2 linked regions of the Solanum lycopersicum genome follow. The main gene of each other region encodes a partner of the protein of the gene in region 2 in a complex. Links are inferred from orthologs where the notes say so. Each region holds a gene or a part of one and is shown on either strand. Other genes may lie near its edges.

The links.
Region 1: dolichol-phosphate mannosyltransferase subunit 1 (region 2) and dolichol-phosphate mannose synthase subunit 3 share a complex: the UniProt entries of both Arabidopsis thaliana proteins name them as parts of the dolichol-phosphate mannose (DPM) synthase complex. The link is inferred for Solanum lycopersicum from reciprocal best matches to the Arabidopsis thaliana genes DPMS1 and DPMS3.

The regions. Positions count from the first base shown.
Region 1 is NC_090800.1:455,970-460,459, reverse strand, and holds the start of dolichol-phosphate mannose synthase subunit 3, read right to left. Parts: upstream 2,873-4,490; 5' UTR 2,718-2,872; exon of another isoform or gene 1,103-2,717; intron 978-1,102; exon of another isoform or gene 833-977; intron 31-832; 5' UTR 26-30; coding exon 1-25. UniProt on the Arabidopsis thaliana protein: Regulates the biosynthesis of dolichol phosphate-mannose. Regulatory subunit of the dolichol-phosphate mannose (DPM) synthase complex; essential for the ER localization and stable expression of DPMS1.
Region 2 is NC_090803.1:67,948,106-67,952,437, forward strand, and holds the start of dolichol-phosphate mannosyltransferase subunit 1, read right to left. Parts: upstream 2,830-4,332; 5' UTR 2,672-2,829; coding exon 2,577-2,671; intron 1,221-2,576; coding exon 1,121-1,220; intron 1,023-1,120; coding exon 989-1,022; intron 901-988; coding exon 824-900; intron 281-823; coding exon 255-280; intron 178-254; coding exon 13-177; intron 1-12. Other genes in the region: 1,4-alpha-glucan-branching enzyme, read right to left, coding at 3,547-3,762. UniProt on the Arabidopsis thaliana protein: Transfers mannose from GDP-mannose to dolichol monophosphate to form dolichol phosphate mannose (Dol-P-Man) which is the mannosyl donor in pathways leading to N-glycosylation, glycosyl phosphatidylinositol membrane anchoring, and O-mannosylation of proteins; catalytic subunit of the dolichol-phosphate mannose (DPM) synthase complex.

The sequences.
Region 1 (4,490 bases), on a different chromosome or scaffold from region 2:
CCAAAATCTTCACGATATGTTTCATTGGATCTGCAGTGATGCATTAATTTGATGTGAGTAATAGAGGAGACTAAAGTTTTTCATTGATTAACATATAATAGAAGTCAACGACTGAAACATTAAGAAGCCAACTCAATTAACTATCAGGGTGTCTTTGATTTGAAGGAAAATAAGAGGTTTTCTTACTTATTTTCCAGTGTTTGGTTGGTGAGTGGCAAAAGAATTTCAATGTTGGTAGGTGAGTGAAATATTTTGCATTCTTTGGTTGTAAGGAGAAAGTTTGCTAACAATATTACAGAAATGGCTTCTGTGTTATTCTCTCACCCCCGCCCCCATCCCAAATTGATCTACATCTATAAAACAACAACGAGATTTTTACACAGTATATATATATGTGTGTGTGTGTGTGAGAGAGAGAGAGAGAGAGAGTTGCCGTGTATAATTTATGTACATCAGCTAGGGGCTGTAAATATTTTTTGGCTGAGAGGCCAAGTGTGTAGAAAGTCACAAACAAATGCATTGTTAACATGAAACTTCACGGCCTACATGGATGTCCACATGGATGTCCAATGTTAGTTGATATTATGATCATTCCTTTGGAATTAAACTACTTTTCTATGTCAGTGTCAAAGCCAATGCAAGAAAACAGAAAGCAAAGACCTCCATATTAGTTTTCAAAAAGTTATAAAAACTTCAAATCTAGACTAACAAAATACTGGATGATGCAACCAACTAACAAAATTATGGAGCACTATATGAAAGCCAACAACTAAAATCCGGTGCAGATACAGAAGATCAGATAGAAAAAAATGAAAGAACTAAAACCTACTACCTAGCAATGTTCTTCTAACTGATGATGTGTTCTAGTTTTGTTGCTTGAATCTTTCCAACCACAAATATTCCGTTGGTTTGCACCATCTAAATTGTTTCTCACCCTTTCTCTCCATTTGTTTATTGTTACAGGAAACGTATCGGATCTACATTCACCAGATAAGCAAGCATTATCAACAACATATTTTCTGTAACAACTCCAGTTTCACAATAGAAACACTCAAATATTATAATCACTACACTCAAAGTTAAATGGGAAAATGGAACTCACAAGGAAACTATTGAAGAATATAACTAGAAGGGAGATGAGAAGCTTAAACTCAAAGCAAAGGGATGAGAGGACTAGGTTCTCAACCATCTGCATAAGTCTAATTTGCTCCACAAGTCATATTTATCAACTCGGATCCCAAACATAGTCTCTTAATTCGGTGTTGAGCTGGTTTGCCCATACTGGTCCTGGCCCGTTCATAACAATACCACCCTCCTGAATACGAACCTTGTCCTCAAGGTTCAAGTGCAGAAATGTCAACAGTGAAAAACTATCACTCTCGTAAAGTGAAACATGCTTCTCTGTCTAAATTCCATTAGGGAGTAGTGTAATAACAATTTCGTAACTAAGATGCAACACAGATATTCGCTTCTGCTTTCCAAGCCAGAGCATTAGTTGATGATTACTGTTAAATGGTTGATCCAACTCCTCAACGGAATTCCGTATAACAATTAATTAGTGCGAATTCAAGGCCATGTAACAGATTCTTAAAGAAGTTGAGAACACTAGAATAGCTGATAGTATATCCTCATGGAAAGGTAGTAGATTAGTGTACCATAGAACAGATAAAGAGTCAGTCCAAAAAGTAATACAGGGGACAGTCATTTTCTCATCCATTGACTTTCTTGCTGGCATATCATTGCCTTCTCCAATATCGAAAATCCCCACTCCATTATTTAAGAACACAACAGCTTTGATGGACTAGACAATGTGATGTTGTTCGCCTAAACCAACTGTGAGGACTAGTAGAGATGAAACAAGGAGAAATATCAAAGATACAGGAGGCTCAGCATCTCCAAACATAGAAGTAATCAACACTGTCAGTGAGTAAACCAAAAATTAAGTCGGCTGTAAACATTTGACAAGGAATGAATAAGGTCTTAGTGTCTAGTCCTCATTGAAAATATTCATGCATTTGTTGTAAGCAAATGGATGACGACCTCCAGAAGCCATAAGCTGAAAAGCAGCAACAAATTCCCTGAACCATTCACAACAGCAGCATACGACACTGGTCAAAGACTTCTTGAAAAAACCGTCAGTGACAACCAGAACAAGGCGAAGGATGAAAGCCATCTTTCAGTATCATGATTCTAGGGAAGATTGTGGAAATAAGTTGAATTTATTCGCGTTTGAAATGGAACTAAAAGGGGTTGTCTAAGGTGCAGATGAACAGTTCGATAAAAGTCCTAAACGAATCATCCCCTTATAACCTTGGTCCTAACTGTTTTTGTTGATTCATATGAATCCATGGTGATTTATTCTCTGTGCTAAAAGATTAGTGCAACATCACTATGGCTGCTTCACTTTTTACCAACAAATCACCTTAAAATCCACCAAACCTAAAAAAATCACCCAATAACTCCAATCCCATAAATTTTTACATTAACCCCAATACAATTTAACCAATTTGATAACACCCAGATGATAAAAATCTAATCTTTTCACAAAATCACCTAAAAAAATCACCAATAACACTGATCCCATAAACTTTTACAGAAATCCCAATACAATTTTAGCCAATTTAGATCACACCCACATGATAAAAATCAAATCTTTTGTTTAGAACAAAGAAAATAATTAGTAAAAAGTAAAACTAAAATCATAAAAGGGAACAAACCTGATATTGAATATGAAGCCTGCTCCGATCAGTTCCAATCAGGTTTTGCAGTTGTGTTTTTCTTTTTTTAACAAAAATTAATTTAAGGTATTTTTTCAACAAATTTAATATACAGTTCAGACACCTCTAACAGACAGCAGTTGACGTGTCTGCCTATTTTATTTAATTATATAAAAAGAAATTCTTAACCCCAGCCATCAAATCAAATTTTATTTTTAATTTATTTATTTTTAAAATTGGCATTTCTTTTCATAAAAAGTTATGTATAAAAAATTGTGATTTCAATGAAAAGTTGCGATTTTTACAAGAAAATGTTTCTTTTATTGAAAAGTAACGACTTTAATAAATAGTTATGACTTTTAAAAAAAAAATTGTGACACTTATCGTCACTAAAAATGTGTTTTAGTGGCAACCTTTGTCACCGCCAATACCTATAAAAGTCGCTAAGTGTAACTCAATGATTGCAATTCAAGAAGGGCATGAAGCTTTGACTCAGCCAATCAATCGCCTTCTTAGTTAGCTGTGGAACCTGCCCTTTAGCCATCTATCTTTAGATACGGAGGGCCAGAAAACTGACGGAATTCTAGGATTCCTTTTGGAGGCAAATACTTTTATAGGTGGCAACCTTTGTCACCACCAATGCTTATAAAAGTCGCCACTAAAAGTGTATTTTAGTGGCAACTTTCGTCGCCGCCAATGCCTATAAGAGTCGCCATTAAAAGTGTGTTTTAGTGGCAACCTTTGTCGCCAGCAATGCCGATAAGAGTCGCCACTAAAAGTGTGTTTTAGTGGCAACCTTCTTCGCCGCTAATGTCTATAAAAGTCGCTACTTAAGATGTCCTTTGGTGGCAACCTTTGTTGCCGCCAATGCCTATAAGAGTCTCCACAAGAAAGTGTGTTTTAGTGGCAACCATTGTCGCCGCTAATACCCATAAAAGTCACTACTGAAGTGTGTTTTAGTGGCAACTTTTGTCGCCGCTAATACCCAAAAGTCGCTACTGAAAGTTGTTTTAGTCAACCTTTGTCGCCGCTAATGCCCATAAGATTGCCACTGAAAGTATGTTTTAGTGCAACCTTTGTCGCCGCCAATGCCCATAAGAATCGCCACTGAAAGTTGTTTTAGTGGCAACATTATCGCCGCAAATGCCCATAAGAGTTGCCACTAAAAGAAATTTTAGTGGCAACCTTTTTCGCCGCTAATACCATAAGAGTCGTACTGAAAGTGTGTTTTAGTGGCAACCTTTGTCGCCACTAATACCCATAAGAGTCGCTACTGGAAGTATGTTTTAGTGGCAACCTTTGTCGCCGCTAATACCCATAAGAGTCGCTACTGAAAGTATGTTTCAGTGGCCTATACAAGTCGCTACTAAAATTGTGTTTAGTGGCAACCTTTGTCGCCGCTAATGCCTATAGGAGTCGCTACTGAAAGTATGTTTTAGTAGCAACATTTGTCGCGCTAATGCCTATAGCAGTCGCTACTGAAAGTATGTTTTAGTAGCAACATTTGTCGCCGCTAATGCCTGTAAAAGTCGTCACTAAAATTGTGTATTAGTGGCAACCTTTGTCGCCACTAATGACTGTAAAAGTAGCCACTAAACAAGTGATTTTCTCTTTAAAAAAATTATTTATGTTGTTGTACCAGTATATTCTTAATGGTCTTAACTTAGTTATAATTAATATTGACTATCAAAATTTTTACATATTTTTTTTCACCAGAGTTATTTTAACCATAAAATTATTGTCTTTTTTCATGTACAAAAAGAGAAAATATGT
Region 2 (4,332 bases):
ATTAAAACATACCGGAAGGATCCAGTTAAGTCTGATACACCCGGCCAAAGTAGTGTCTGTGCAAGGACATTGGCTCCCCTGCTCGTCAATTTGCGCATAAGGTTCCATCCGTGGACACCACCACTAGAAACATATCGAGTTCCAGTAACTATATTGGCACCTGTCTCCATTTGTTTCCTAGACATAAAATTTAAATTATAGTTCTAGTGCTCACCATTACAAGAAAACTGAAATTTAAGAAAACAAATACTCACTTGATAAATCTTGGCAGGTATTTTGGCTGTAAAAAAAAGTATAAAAGAATCAACCATAAAATTTAAAATCAAATAAGCTTGGTATAGAGACTAATATTTTATGAGACAGACTAACAATATACAGGCTCACATAATTAAATTCAGGAAGTCACTGATTTTTGGTCCTACACTTTTAAGTTTTGATGAAGTGGGCCTACACTATCAAGTTTCAGTTGTCCAAGGAACAAATTGCCCTTTTTCTTACTATTGAGGGTGCTGGATGCTGGGGGAACTAAATCACCGCAGGCACAGACAGGATATGCAATAGTGCAACAATGAGGGCGTGAAAAATAACGATTAACCCAAAAAATAAATTTAATTATTCGATATACACACCCAGAGCTATTTGAATCGTTTCTTCCCATAACATCAAGCATAAAAAAAACCCACTGCACACCACATATCCCCTTTCTGTTCCTTTCCCAACAAAAACACTTGATGTTCCAACAAATAGATAAAGGACATTTCACAACAAAAAGACAAAATATAAAAGGAAACCAAACGAGGCCCTTATCTTCAATCATACTTACATGGTGAGAAAGATCCGCATCCATAATAACAACAAAATTGCCTGAGGCATGCTTCAAACCATGAATATACGCAGTGCCTGAGATAAGAGGAATGTCAGAGACTATTCATGGCTAACATCTTCGTATGAAAAAGAAATCATGGTTATCATAATAAAATGGAAGTACCTAGACCAAGTTTCCGAGGTCGAGGTCTTAATAACTGTAGTAAACAAGAGAAATGAGCAAAGTGAGATGATAAACTGGTATGATCAGGGAAGCATAATGTGCAACAACTGGATGAAGTAAGAAGCTACTAACAATACGATCTTCTCCATATACTTTCTGCAATTGTTTGACAATATCCTGTGTGCCATCTGGACTTCCATCATCCACTACTATTATTTCAAAATCAACATCCCTGAGTCAAGAAAAAACAAATTTTGCAATAAGAATCTGCTTATGCATTTACATGATTTTATCACCTCTAAATATTGCATATGAAAAAATAAGCTGAGATTTAATTCAAATACAAGGGAAAAATGAATTTTAGTCCTCAAAATGGGAACATCCCCCTCAAAGACACTAAATGATGTCATGAACATGGTGTACATTTTTCTTGCGTCATAAACAACAATGTGGTCGAATAAAACAGGACCTGACATCTATATAAATCAATCTCAATAACAATGTCTTCTCTCGTGGTTGAGCATCAATATTATTAGCAATGAGCAAATAAATATGAAAAAAATGGTAAGCATGTAAAGGACAGAACCTAACTCCTCATCCATACAAAAATTAATGCATAGATCCCCCAAATTCCTTATAAAAAGAAAGATCATCTTCGAAAATAATTTATAAATGGTGAAAATTGATTCCAAGAACTGTAAAATGTTTTGACATAGCCCTTTCCAAATTTGCTCCTGATAAGTGATATCTGCCAACAATCACTTGGAATTTGGGTGTAAGCCACGTTATTTTCCAGCCTACTAATCAATGGATTCCCTCAAAAAGTTACAATCCTCACGAAAGCTCCCAACCATCTATATTAGATTCCAAAAAGATACAATCTTTACAAATTCTCATGCCTATCTAACTCAAATTTAAATCAAACTGTCATGAATCCACAAATAGTTGTGAGAACATGGGTGGCACATGAGTTGTAACTGAACATCTCACTCACAAACACACAAAGAGATAGAAGCTAGGGGTAGAAAAAGCTTCTGAAAATGTGGAAAATGCTCATTCCTCTCTCCCTTCTATACCTATACTGGTCATCTAATCTCTCTATCACCCGATCTTCCTCTCTGCTCTCTGTTTCGTTTCGCTTCTTCTTTACACTTTCTTGCCTCTTTTCTTAACTCTATCTACTTTCTTCTCCATTTCATTCTATACTCCTTTCTAATTTCTCCTCTCCTATTCAGTTCAAAATTGAAGACTACCTTTTCCTAGATTTTGATGATAAAGATAACCGTTTTCACATAGATCATAGATTAATTCAATTAATCAATGCTGGGATATTACACAAACGATCTTAATAGCAACAACTTCAACAAAATTCTAGTCAATTTCCTCTACACAGCTCCAATTCATGCCAAATTTAAGTTGCTTACAGAAGATCGAATATAAAAACCAAAAAACAATTCTTTTCTAATAAATCATAAAACCCATTTTTCCAGATGCAAATATTTTCCAAAAAGACAGAAACTTTAATAGCAGTGATCACACACACACACACAAAAAAAAAAGAAACGGGATAGAGAGAAAGAGTGTTTACGTGAGATGCTTGAAGACGAGGTAGATGATGAGAGCAATATTGAGACGTTCATTGTAGGTAGGTATAATTATACTGTACTTGTTCTTCTCCCCCATTTTGTTGATCTCAAAATTGAAGTTTTTTTCAGTTCAATACTAATATACCGAGATTAATCCACCATTAACAAGACTGACCCGAGAGTTGTAATCGGGCCCCGATTTGTTTTTTGTTTTTTTTTTAAAAAAAAAGACAACCTCTTAAAACTTGTGAAAATATTTATTGAGTACCTCAACTTCATAATAAAATATTTCACTAAGACACTTTTTGTTCGAATCGTAAAAGTTTGGATTTATTTTTATTTATCTATTAGTTAAATCAACTACATAAAATATGTGATCTTATTTAATTGAATGCATCACTCATAAGTAGAAAACGTCTATGATTTACAGTTTATTATTTTAGCGAATACGTTTAGTTAAACAAGATAACATATTTTACGTGATTAACTTAACTATAGATAAATGAGAACACACAAATGCGGTTTCAAATTTTCGTACTTATCTATTTGAAACACTTTTTTAGAAGTCGAAGCATTTAATTAAAACATGACTTAATTCGAATGCCTAATGAAATATCTTTGATAAAAATGACTTTGGATTTGGAAAGAATGAACCAAAAAAGAACAGAATGAGAGACTGTAATCTAATCTACTAGTAACATTTTATATATGTGATTGTTCTTAGTCTTCTTATTACATATAGAGACTTGGCTTCAAAGGCAAAGCACCAAAAACTGGGAAAATTTCAGAGGAACACATACATGCAAATGCATTTTTTCTATTTACAACCAGTAAATTTATTGGATGCTAATAATTTGCAGAGGAAATGCTACCACCCTGAAGGCAACATGCGCGGACTAAGATCACCAACGTAGAAGACATCTGATCCAGACGTTTGCATCCGAATCACCTCAGTCAGCTTGAACAACATCACTAATGATGCTTACAGATAGGTGAATCTTTAAGTTCCTTGTCTCTCTCCTCAACAGAAGCTACAACAGTCTGACCGATGTTACTGATATTTGTAGATAATGAATCTTTAAGTTTCTCGTCACTCTCCTCGATATTGGCTGTTGGTAGTAGCTCATTAGAAATGTCTGTCTGGTAAACTTCAGTTTCTGACATGCATTCGTCAACTCTGTAATAAGCCTTCACAAACAAGGCGAAGAAGAAGCAAAAAAAAGATGAATATAGTTTAGCTTAGTTCAATATAAATAAGTTTCTCTCCCAGCAATCTTTCTACTTGCAAAATTCATTTATTTAACTTTTCTAAACATAAACCTGAACAAAGATTAGTAGTACATTTTTTGACTTGCACAAATAATTGTGTTGTCCATTTCTGACATGCGTTCATCTAAATGCACTGTTTCAACAACAACAACAACTACTTCAGTCCCAAACAAGATGGGTCGCTTAGCTACACGCATTGCTTTCACTTCTGTTACTTCTTTTTGGACTTCTTTTTCTTGAGCCAAGGGTCTATTGAAAAAATCCTCTCTACCTCTAAGATAGGAGTAAGTTTTGCATACACTCTACCCTCCCTTTACTGCACTTTGTGGGACTACATGAGGTATGTTGTTGTTGATGTTACCGCAGACACCAAAGGTGGACATTAAATGACTATTCCTAGCTTTACTTCAGGGCGGTTATAAGTTCCCATCGACTTCCTTTTTGCTCATTTACCTAAGTTTATGCAAGTGCAAGCTACATGCACTGGTT